Oryza sativa Japonica Group: one gene and its partner. The protein of the gene in region 2 binds, or shares a complex with, the protein of the main gene of each other region. Links are inferred from orthologs where the notes say so. Each region holds a gene or a part of one and is shown on either strand. Other genes may lie near its edges.

Region 1 (5,215 bases), on a different chromosome or scaffold from region 2:
TCCTTGCCTGGGCTAACGATGCAGGGGTAAAAGTGCATGATATGAAGACAGACAAAGGAATCGCGTTTATAGAGAGGCCAAAAGGAATTCCTCGGCCAGAGTTTTTACTTCCTCAGTTGGTCTGGCAGGTAATACACATTTATTTATGCGAACACTATACTTTTTTATACCAAGTATGGCTCATTTGGAACATTTCAATTTGGTCGACATTAAAAATATGCACAGTTAGGGATCATTTTTTTTTTCCTTTCAGCAAATAGTTAGTAGAATACAAAGGATATTACAGAAAAGAAACATCATTTCATTCTGGCAAACATATACCAAAAGAATATATGGTGCAGCAGGAAAAAGTTTCTTGTACATTGAAAGCTTTAGGATTGATTTTTTTTCTTCCAATCTAGTTTAGTCAGATATAAGGAACTAATGGTTTTAAACCTAAAGGAAAAGGTATACGATAGACATGTTTTCATTGTTAGTCATTCCTGGGAGCATTATATGTGTTTTATTTGCTGAGAAGTAAGTTTATAGTCACTTTGCTGTTAATATATCTGATTCTTTTGGGTTCTCATTTTCAATGAAATTGTACATGGCATACTGACTGGTTTGCATATTCAGGATGATACCATCTTAGTTATTGGATGGGGAACAAGTGTCAAGATTGCAGCAATTCGAACAGATTCATCTCAAGGACTCAATGGCATACAGAGGAGTATCACTGCAAGTAATGAGAAGTACGTGGATATTGTGGGTTCGTTCCAAACAGGCTATCACATATCCGGGATTGCTCCATTTGGTGATCTTTTAGTTGTGCTTGCATATATTCCAGAGGAGGAAGACAGAGAAAACAGTTTTAGCAATTCTGTTCCTTCACGTCAGGTAATCATGATGGCTTGTCCTTTGCACTGCACTCTGTAAATCTATTTTTCTCCTTTATTGTGTCATGACCCGAGGTCATGACAGGATAAACACCGCCGGGAAGATAGCCGGGCGGCGTCATCTCCTGGAGAAGGGATGTAGATTTAGGCTAGGGAGAAGAACATTATTGGGAGAGAGAGATTAGACTAACTGATATTCATTGCTTAACTTGAGATGAATACAATCCATCCCTTATATAGAGATGATATGACTTGACCCTTAAGAAACTAACTCAAACTAACTCTATCTAATCCTATCCTATCTCCTAACCAACTGCTACAGTACTCGTGGTACTGTTTATCCGCTAGGACTTGGCCTCGTGGGCCTCGGCCTCTCTGCCCAACGCCTATGACATATTGTGCACCAGATTCCTTTTCTTATGAAGTGATGCTGTTCCCACATTTACCTTTTTCGTTATGTTTAAACACTTTGTAGGGAACTGCCCAGCGTCCAGAAATACATCTTGTATCATGGAAAAATGATGAACTTACCACAGATGCTCTTCCTATTCATGGTTATGAGCATTATAAGGCAAAGGATTATGCTCTTGCTCATGCTCCTTTCTCAGGTTTAATGAAATGTGCTTTAACAGTGAATGAACTTCTCTTTTCTTCTTCACTGAAACTTTTCTAATGAAGGAATTTTATTGTTATATTTTTACCACCCAGGAAGCAGCAATGCAGGTGGACAGTGGGCTGCTGGTGATGAACCTTTATATTACATTGTATCTCCTAAAGATATAGTGGTCGCAAAGCCAAGGTTTGTAATGTTGCAAAACAAAGGATTATATTAGCTTCTAAGTTCTGCAATTGCAAATGAAAGAAGGCAATAATTGATTGAGCAAAACTTCTCTTTTTGAAAATGTGATCTTCCTTCGTCATATTTTCTCTGATTGTAATCTTGAAGAACTCCATTAGTCCTTCAATTTTCTGCATTATTTAATTGTGATACACATGTAAGCTTGGCTACTTGCAGTAGATCACTTCAGTTGCATATCTGATTCTGTGGCATTTAATTTTCTTCTAACTACAAGTAGCATACGTAGAACAATACTAAGCTAGTTTCTTCTGATAATTTCCAGCCTATTTGTGTTTCTGAGCTTTCTATAAGGACATGGCAAAATTTCATTTCAGAAAATGTTGTATCTTTATATTTCTACTGATATAATATGTGCTTTCAAATTAGAGATGCTGAAGACCATATTTCTTGGCTTCTTCAACATGGTTGGCATGAAAAGGCATTGGCTGCAGTTGAAGCAGGACAAGGACGAACCGAGCTTCTTGATGAGGTAAAGTAGAAACAGTTTGAGTTTGAACAGTAAATGAATAATGGTATGCATTATCTGCTTGATGATGAGGATGCTACCCTTATTGTTTAGGAACCTTCAAGTAGACACCTTTAAGGTCCATTATGGCAACTGAGGTCCCCATCCCCTTCTATAGTTTTGTTGGCGATTATCACGTTCACAATATTGAGCATTTTAGCTGAAAACAATGGGACCTGTATCATGTACCAATAGGTGTTTATATTTAAGCTGGCTCGTCTTTAGACTATTGTTGTCATGAGTTAAGGTGGTCCTAACAATGTGAACAACAAATACATTCTGAAATTCTATGCATATTTTAGAAGTTTGCTTCCTATCTTATATATATTATGCTGGTCTGATGCATATTTTAGAAGTTGACAGCACTTCAACAACATAACCCAGTCAGTATCTTATGAGCCCATTTTTTTAGGAAGGACGACCTCAGCTATTAAGAAATCTAACCACATAATAGCTAGGAACATTATTGAAATTTTGTTCATGCCATCTTATGTCAGGTGGGTTCGAGATACCTTGATCATTTGATAATTGAAAGAAAATATGCTGAAGCTGCACGCCTCTGTCCAAAATTGTTGCGAGGATCTCCTTCAGCATGGGAGAGGTGAGAAAAAAAGAAGTGTTGATATACATTGTATCCTTCATCATACGATCTGGAACAAACACAGGAGCATTATGAGATTTTGATGTGCATTGTTTGTTTTAGTTGATCACTAGTATATCTACTGACCATAACTTTTTTTGTGCCACAGGTGGGTCTTTCACTTTGCCCATCTTCGCCAACTTGCTGTATTAGTTCCTTACATACCTACAGAGAATCCTCAGCTGAGTGATACAGCTTACGAGGTGCCATTACTTCTTTCTATTTTGCTTGCTTGCTCTTTACAACACCTCTGATTCTAATACTAATTCTAATTGGTTTATGTAGGTTGCTCTTGTAGCTTTAACTACCAATCCTTCTTTTCATGAACTTCTCTTGACAACTGTAAAAAAATGGCCACCTACATTATACTCCGCTTCACCTGTCATATCTGCAATTGAGCCACAGCTAAATTCCTCTTCAATGACTGATTCATTAAAAGAGGTATGGAAACATTTTCTTAATGGATGTAAGACTTACACAGTATTTTTGAGCTCTTTGACATCTTGGTTCTGTTTGCCATGTAGGCTTTAGCTGAATTGTATGTCATCAACAGTCAATATGACAAGGCCCTTTCTCTGTATGCTGAAGTAAGTATTACCTAACTTGTAGTTAAAAGGTTCACATTGCATTAAATTAATAGAATTTTGTTTTATTACCTGTATTGTTGACCCAACCTCATTTCATTCAGCTCTTGAAGCCAGAAGTATTCGAATTTATTGAGAAGCACAACTTGCATGATGCCATTCATGACAAGGTATGGTTAAAATTCCCAAATGTAGGATAAAACTGATCTCACTTGACTTTTTTTTTCAAGTTTGCATTTGTGAATTGTCAAGTGTCATGGTAGCAATTGTCTAATAATGGTACTTACATATGGTTACAATGTAGTTGAACATGATAATATATTTTAGACAGAGACAGGCTTCAATAACCTCCATATATTCACTTATGGGCCTTGCGTATTTCGCAGGTTGTCAATCTTATGATATTGGATAGTAAAAGAACTGTAAACCTATTGATCCAGCATCGTGATACGATCCCCCCGAATGAAGTTGTAGGACAGTTGTTGCATGCTAGTAAAAGTTGTGACAAAAGACATTTGTTGCATCTGTATTTACATGCTCTGTTTGAGACAGACATGAATGCTGGAAAAGACTATCATGACATGCAGGTATGCTGATTCTTCTGTGAACAAGCAGTCTTTATCATACTGTTCACCTCCTGCCCATTTGCCCTATTTCTGTAGCTCTAGTTTTTGTATTAGTATAACAGCTAACCACATTACACTTTGTGTTGTAGGTGGAGCTTTATGCAGAGTATGAGCCAAGGATGCTAATACCCTTCCTCCGTACCAGTCAGCATTACAGGCTTGACAAGGTCATAAACTCATAATTCTCAAAAGAGAAAAAAAAAGCATTCATTATCTTGAGAAGGATGAGTAATGAATGACATGTGGTTATTTCAGGCATATGAAATCTTTGCACAAAAAGAGCTTGTACGGGAGCAAGTTTTTGTGCTTGGTCGTATGGGAAATGCAAAGGAAGCTCTCTCTACAATTATAAACAAATTGGAAGATATTCAGGAGGTCCTAATGTGGTTATGATCATTTTGTTAAAAATTTGGGGCTAGACTAGCAATTCTAGACTGTGGTTGGATTGCAATAACAGTAACCTTGGATGCAGGCCGTTGAATTTGTGATGGAGCAACACGATGATGAGTTATGGGAGGAATTGATAAGACAGTGCCTCCAAAAACCTGAGATGGTAATTGAGCTGTGTATTCTGTTCAATACTCTTGACACTGATGTTCCTTCTGTTTATTCATTGCATTTTTGTAACCGTTGAGCAGGTTGGAATGCTGTTGGAACATACTGTTGGCAATCTTGATCCTTTGTACATTGTTAGTTTGGTTCCTGATGGGCTAGAAATACCAAGGTAAATGTGCCAAAATTTGTTTCGTTCAAAGATAATGAGAACCTACCCCCAAAAAAAAAAACATCACATATACACCTTACGAAACGAATTTCTATCATCAGATGATCAGAAATTCAGAATCCACCAATTACTTATATACAAATTATTAGCTATGACCATCACTCAGTTTATTATAATAATTATAGGGCTATATTGACACTGTAGAATAGAGATGCTACAACTTTATTTAATCCAATCCTTCTCTTCCCTGGTTCAAGTGTTCATTGAAATATTACGCTTTTGATAGGTTGCGGGATCGCCTTGTGAAAATTGTGACAGACTATCGAACAGAAACTTCATTAAGACATGGGTGCAATGATATACTTAAGGTTAATATTCAAGAAAAAGATATACTTAAGGTTA
Region 2 (6,793 bases):
ACAAGGGCAATTAGAGCATTGTGGCTCATTTTCTTTATCTCCAATGGAGATTTATCATCAGATTCATGAAGTTGTAGAGAGTATGGTTCCATATCATCTGTCACATCAGATGATTCTCTTGCTAATTCTGGCAGATCTTGCAGCCGGTCATGTTCACCTATGATGTGCGTTTGAGGCAGAACAAGAGATGGATATAGAGATAGGACATAAGTAATATCCACATGTGAATCAGAGAACTGCTCCATTGCCTCCTCATAGCTCCCATTATCAAATAAAAAGTGTCCATATCTAATTCATGAAATCAAATTTGAAACACACAATTTAGTTATATGTGAGGAACCAAATAAAAAAAATATATAAGAAAACACAAGATTCACTGACTAGAAATGTAGTAGATGGCTCTGTTCGCCTACTTCAATTATAGACTAGAAACTGCATGGATTCAAAACTGGTAATATTGTTGCTTTGCTTACACTCCATATTTTCATTTTGCAAACATCATCTGTACTGTTCAATCTGCTTATTTTCTAACAAAAAAAAGGATAGTAAAAGTATGGAAAACCCATAAGCTATTCATATTCTTTTATTGAATTTGTTTCTCAGCAGATCATGGATGCAAAACATAATCAGAGAGCAAAGTGATTCAAACAGCTTAAGTAAAGAGGAGCAGAATCTACCCATTTGTGCTACAGGATGATAAACGTATAGAAGTAGGAAATCTATACAGACTGCAAATAGAGTGCTGGTGTGACCTTTAGATTGGACAACTTGAAACATACCTTATGTGTATTGAGCTTTCCTTTGCAGCTCGTAGGTTTGAATCCTCTGGAGGAAGTAGCTTACACAACGCCAGAGCCTCCTCAAATTCACCAGATGCAGTCAACTGCACTATCTGTAGACCAACATATGTAACGATGCAAATGTAAGAGCTAAGAATCAATCCTGAGAAACAACTTGTAAAATGATCAAGGCTGATTATTTAGCATGTACATGAAAGAAATAAAATCCATAGAAGAAGCCTTATAACAATTGGTACATGCTATGGATTGGCTAGGGTAAGGGCCCGAAGACCGGGGGATAGGGCACTCACCCTCTAATAGCAGTGGCGGGGCTTCTCCCTGCTGAGCTAAAAGAGGCTCCGAGGCTTAGGGCTAACTTTAGAGATTCATTGATTGATTGATAATAGAGTACATGGTGTCCCTTTATATATAGGGAGGATAGACTAGACACATAAGGAACTAGTCTCTACTATTATATAAACCAATCCAATCTCTATCTCTAACTTTCTAATAAACCTCATCCCTTTCCTAACTAGGTAATCTCCTATATTTATGTGACTTATTCCTAAATTATCATGCCTAAACTGTTGCATGGGCCTAGCCCATGCCCATAACAGTACAAGATCTTATAAAGGGCACCAACAATGGTTATTTTGGGAAACTATACCAAAAGTTAGCATGAAACAGCTTAGTGCTGTGATTTGTGATATCAAGATAAACTACTAGAAGCCCGTAGGCAGTGGAAGGATGGCTAGATGGTGCATGTGTGGCACTGTGTCAGGACGGGCAGCCACAATTTGGAGGTGATGTGGGTGAGCAAGGCTGTGAACAGTAACATTTTAGGAACACGGAACAAAAGATATCATATAATGTCTACAGAAATGTGCTCATCGAAATTAATAAACCAAAGTACCAGACACAGCACAGCATACCTGGGCACCAATAGGAACAGGCAACAAGCCATAAACAGAGCGGGCTAGCACAGCAAGTATACAGTTCTCAGTTTCAACAAGCTTTTGAACATCACGAAGTACAACCGTCTGAACCAATGCATTGGGGGCTCTAAGGGACCGTATCTGAAACAAAACCAAGTAGTCAGGTGGAACGATGTAACTATAGCTTTAGTATACAAGATGAATAAACTCACCTCAACATGCCGTGGCAGGCGTGCCACCGCATATGGCCTATGTATAGCAACAGAGGCAGGCGTGTCTGACCAAATTATCCTGCCATCTTGAATAAGTTTCCCATTTTGGTCAACAAATACTCCAATATTATCCTGAGTAAACAAAGTAAATAGTACATGATTGAGCTAAGATTAAAGAAACTTACAAGTGAAAACAAGTTACTACATTCAGACCAACTGCCCCATCATTCCTCTAAAGCAGAATACTTTCATCTTTGAACCAAACAAATATCACAAAATGATTTCATCTAACCAAGCAATTTCATCAAATGGCAAATTGACAACAAAACATATATAATATCACAAAAAAAATTAACGTTATACCTTTCCCAGGAGGAGCTCCCCAGTAGGAAGAGCCACAACTAAAGGTGGAGCATTCCTTCCAGAAGAAAACACTTCAGTTAATGCACCAGTCATACTATTTATGATCATATACTCCTTTCTAATCCCAAGACAAATGTTGTCGCCACACCAGGCCATTGATTTCACGGTATCCGGAACTCCAAATTCCTTCACCTCAACAAACTCCCTCCCACCTGATAAACAGAAATTAAGTCACCATGCAACGCGTATTCAGAACAAGATCATTCAGCCATTTGATTTCTTTCAAGATTACCATAATCAAAATTTTAAAGGCACAACACAAACTCTAGTCTTAAGTTATGCCAAATGCTGCTAAATACATTTATTCTGATATACCTTGCACTTACAACAGTACTAAAAAAATTTTACAGGTCGTTTTTCCTTTACCAGTTTCAGCAAACAAAAGGCTAATGTTTCGTAAGCTTTTTCCCAAATTCAAGATACAGATAAATTACAAAAAGAAAACCCTGTTACCGGTTCCAGCACACAAAATTCTATTACTTCAGAAACTTCTTCTGAATTCTAATGATGCCTACATGTGCATGCAATTTGTGCCAAAAACAAAATCTACGATCAAGCAAATGACAAGAAAATTCATGAACACATGATTTCCTTGGTATGCTGTATCAATGTAGAGTTAGCAGAATAACACATTTTCTTTAAGTGGAATAATGAAATCGTGTGCCTTAGCAAAAATGTCTATATATCATCTTCATCTAACACCATTAGAACCAGAATAATTCTGGAATGTATGAACATGTTTTAACTGAAATATTTCATTGTGCCCAACATGTGGAAAAACAAAAAGGATCAGTAATTATTGCCAGAAAAAGAATAATCAAAGAGTGAATATACCAATTAATGATTCAAAAGTTTAATATCCTACACAAATAGCTTCCAACTACAAGAAATTCACTTATTAATCCCCCATGGTGTTCATAGAATATATCGCATCATTAGAACAGTAACTGTATTTTTCCACTAAAACATTTAGCCAACTTAAATAGATTAACTAAAGCCTGGAATTAACTCGAGTGTTTTTCCCTTTCTCCAACAGATCCCAAGTCCCAGCTAAGAACATCAATTCAGACTACACGGCCCCAATTCAATCCAGACTTCCCATTCTCCAAATTGAGCAGTACCAACAGGCCATCTCCATTTCCACCGAAACCCAAATGATGTAACAGTCAAATCATAGCCACAAACACTCAAATCACAACGAAAACGAATAGGCAATGCGGCCGAATTCTCACTGTCAAGGCGGAAGATGGTCAGGCGCTTCCAGCGGCCGACCGCGAGGAGGCCCCGGCGGTCGTCCCAGGCGAAGAGGTTGGCGCCCTTGGTCTTCCCGATGACGGCGACGGTCTCGAGCCCGGGGAGGCGGTGGAGGTTGACGCACTCGGCGAGCGAGAGCAGGAGCTCGCGGCCGGCGCTGACCTCCATCGCCAGGGGCGTCCCGCGGCGCCACAGCGAGGGCTGCTGCCGCTCCAGCGCGTACGGCCCGTCCCGCGGGATCCCGCCGCCGGCGTGGCCCGGGGAGGCGTAGATGCGGAGGGAGCCGTCCTTCCCCGCGACGAGGAGCCTCCCGGCGTAGGCGGCCACGGCCACGATGTCGCCCGGCACGCCGGAGACCAGCTCGACGGCGTCGTACGCGCTGTGCACCATGGCTGCCGCGGGCCCCCCCCCCCCGATCGGGCGGCGGTCTCCCGCCCCGGCGGCGGCGAGGCGAGTCGGCCGCGGCGGCGATCGTCGCGTGCGGCGAGGCGAGAACGAAAAGGGGGAAGAGCGAGATCGTTGCGTCGAGGACTCTGGCTCGGCTAGGCCATGATGGTATACGGAATGGGGGGTATAGTATAGCTGTATAGGTATACGGGATACAAACACATATTGGATTATTATTGGCATTGCTCGACCTTCAATAAAAACAATTATTTTCTTAAAGAAAAACCTCTTCTGATACGTTACTTAGATCACCTGTTCGTTCTAAATTTGTAAAACTTATTTATTAAAATATTAATTTATTTTGTTAATGAAATAGATATAATCCGTGCTAATAATCTTGTCGGTAAATAGGAGTTTGATTCATCGTGTGATGGCGCATGAAGCACACATGTTATATATGCTTTCTGACTTTGTTTTGCTGTTGTTTTGTTTGTACTTTAAAATAATATAGTTTTTATCAATCGTAAAAATTATCTTCACATGTTGCAATGCACATGCATTTTTGCTAGTCTAGAAAAAAAAATAGGGATATAACCCCTTTCCCTCTCCCTCTCTCCATTATACTCTCCTCGTTCCGGTCTCCTCCTTCGAATACCCCGCTATTGGAGCCCCTCCCCCTCCGTCGTTCTCCTTACCACCCACCGCCGGTGCCCCTCTCCCCCTCCCCTCCTCTCTTCAGTGACGTCGACATCGATGCCACCTTACCCCTCCACTCATGGCCGGCTGATGCAAGTGGCCACCACTACCTCTCCCGTCTCGCTTAGGGGGGCGGCGTGGCCGTCGAGCTCCGGCCGGCACGGACCCAGGGGTGGTGCGCCCAGCGAGCTCCTGGCGGCGTGGATTAAGGGGCGATGTGGCTGACACGGATTGGGAGACGCCGTGGCCGGCGAGCTCCGGCTGATGCGGATCAGGAGGCGGCACGGTGGAGTTGCTTTGGTGGTGATGCGATGGATCCCAACGATGATGCTCATAGGTCGCTGGTAGGCTCCACTTCTGCCCGCCACTCTCGTTCTCCCTTCCGCCGCCTTCTTGTCATCGCTTCTCTCTCCCTTCTGTTGCCTTTGCGCTAGGGCACTAGTTGTTGGTGCGAGAGAAGGAGAGCGTGGGAGGGGAATACACGAAGCCACGGAGTGATGAGATGATGACCTCCACAACGCGGCGCCCCGCCTTTCTCCCCACGCCGCACTCCCTCAATGGAGACGAAGTCCGTGTGCCCAATTTTGACTTCATGTGCTTCGTTTGGCTCCGCGGGTGATCGATGTGGAGGCGAATATTCTGCGTCGGGTGTTTGGGCCGAACGACACGGAGGCGCACTATGACCGCCAGCTAGATGCGCCGCCATTGCCGAGGTAGTCGCAACTAGGCTTTGGATCCCAGCTAGAAGAAGTCCCGCTGCCAGCTTCAGCCACCGTAGTTTGTTAGGGACGAGGTGGTCGCTGCTGATGTTGACACTCAACATAGTTGTCGTGGCCTCTAGAGATCTGAACTTGATGAGAAGTCATCGGCCTAAGCCCTAAAGATGGTTACTGCTGCCGACTTTCTAGAGTTCCATGTCGTCTCGGGCTAGAGGTATAGATGGCCATATGGCACAAGGCCCGCAGCCCGCCCCAAGGCACGCCAATTTGGCCCAGCCCAAGCAGGGCACAGCCCGACTGGGGTTGTGCTCGTGCCGGCCCGGTACAGCATGATCGGAAAAAAATAGTAGAGAGACGTAAATTAGACTTAGTTAACCATATAAGACAAATGCTCAAAGACAAGAGGAATACAAATAGACTTCTTTTGCAGCTATATGGACACAGTCCAGAGAGTTTAGATAGGAAAAATAGACCTTTTTTTTAAAAAAAAAGCACGATAGGCTGTCGTGCCTTCGTTCGAACCGGCACGACCCGAGTCTTACTTGGTCTCCAGACCGGCTGAGTGCACTTGCTGCAGCGAACTGTCACGACCTGGTTACTTTCTCATTTCTTCCTCGCTCGCGCGCTCTCTCTCTCCCTCTCTCTCTCTCTCTCTCGGTCCACGACCACAACTCCACAAGCACAGCTGCACAAGTAGCTCGCTGACGCCTCCAGCCTCCCATGGCCTCGTGGACCCGTAGTCCAACTGTCCAAGTTCGTGTGAGCCAATACAATCGGGAGATAAATATCACAACGAAACCACCTGATGGACCCACAAGGCAGTGAGAGAAACAACCATTTCTCTCCTCTCCCGAGGCGCATGCAAATGCTTCCAAAAAATTTGAGAAGCTTTGGTGTCAAAAAAAAAAAAACTTTGAGAAGCTTTTGGGGCCCACGTCCCGGGCCCCACCGCCTCCACCTCATCGTCCTCCTCCTCCGCTTCGCATTTCCTCTTCGAGTACAAGTAGTACTACTAGTAGTCATCGACTCGTCACGCGCAGCCGCGAACCCATTTCCAGAGCGAGAGCGGAGAGCGCACCGCCATTGCCGCACAGCTCCACCGCCCGCAGGCGAGTACCCGGCTCGGGAGGGAGGTGGTTTGGTGCTGGAGATGGCGGATCGTCTCACCGATGAGCAGATCGAGGACGTGCTCGCGCTCTTCGGCCGGAACGGTACGTGCTGTGTCGTCGTCGTTCTCGAGAGCGAGCACCATCACGGCGTCGAATCGGTTGCGAGTTCTTCCTTCCGCTACTTCTCTAGTAACCCGTTGCTTCGTTGGATCGTGCTGCGGCTGTTTCTGTGTATGCTGCGCGGTGATCATGCTTGATCGGTCAAGACGAGGCTGCATT

The links. The genes of interacting proteins can lie anywhere in the genome.
Region 1: vacuolar sorting protein 39 (region 2) and vacuolar protein sorting-associated protein 41 homolog share a complex: the UniProt entries of both Arabidopsis thaliana proteins name them as parts of the homotypic fusion and vacuole protein sorting (HOPS) complex. The link is inferred for Oryza sativa Japonica Group from reciprocal best matches to the Arabidopsis thaliana genes EMB2754 and VPS41.

The regions. Positions count from the first base shown.
Region 1 is NC_089038.1:6,606,268-6,611,482, forward strand, and holds part of vacuolar protein sorting-associated protein 41 homolog, read left to right. Parts: coding exon 1-128; intron 129-615; coding exon 616-876; intron 877-1,350; coding exon 1,351-1,483; intron 1,484-1,583; coding exon 1,584-1,674; intron 1,675-2,100; coding exon 2,101-2,203; intron 2,204-2,736; coding exon 2,737-2,840; intron 2,841-2,988; coding exon 2,989-3,082; intron 3,083-3,164; coding exon 3,165-3,320; intron 3,321-3,403; coding exon 3,404-3,466; intron 3,467-3,567; coding exon 3,568-3,633; intron 3,634-3,849; coding exon 3,850-4,050; intron 4,051-4,178; coding exon 4,179-4,256; intron 4,257-4,344; coding exon 4,345-4,464; intron 4,465-4,561; coding exon 4,562-4,642; intron 4,643-4,727; coding exon 4,728-4,813; intron 4,814-5,099; coding exon 5,100-5,211; intron 5,212-5,215. UniProt on the Arabidopsis thaliana protein: Required for vacuolar assembly and vacuolar traffic.
Region 2 is NC_089037.1:29,849,246-29,856,038, forward strand, and holds the start of vacuolar sorting protein 39, read right to left. Parts: upstream 4,148-6,793; 5' UTR 3,994-4,147; coding exon 3,582-3,993; intron 2,502-3,581; coding exon 2,290-2,501; intron 2,059-2,289; coding exon 1,927-2,058; intron 1,856-1,926; coding exon 1,712-1,855; intron 893-1,711; coding exon 780-892; intron 289-779; coding exon 1-288. Other genes in the region: uncharacterized protein, read left to right, coding at 6,556-6,616. UniProt on the Arabidopsis thaliana protein: Essential protein required during embryogenesis. Believed to act in part as a component of the putative HOPS endosomal tethering complex. HOPS is required for the central vacuole formation.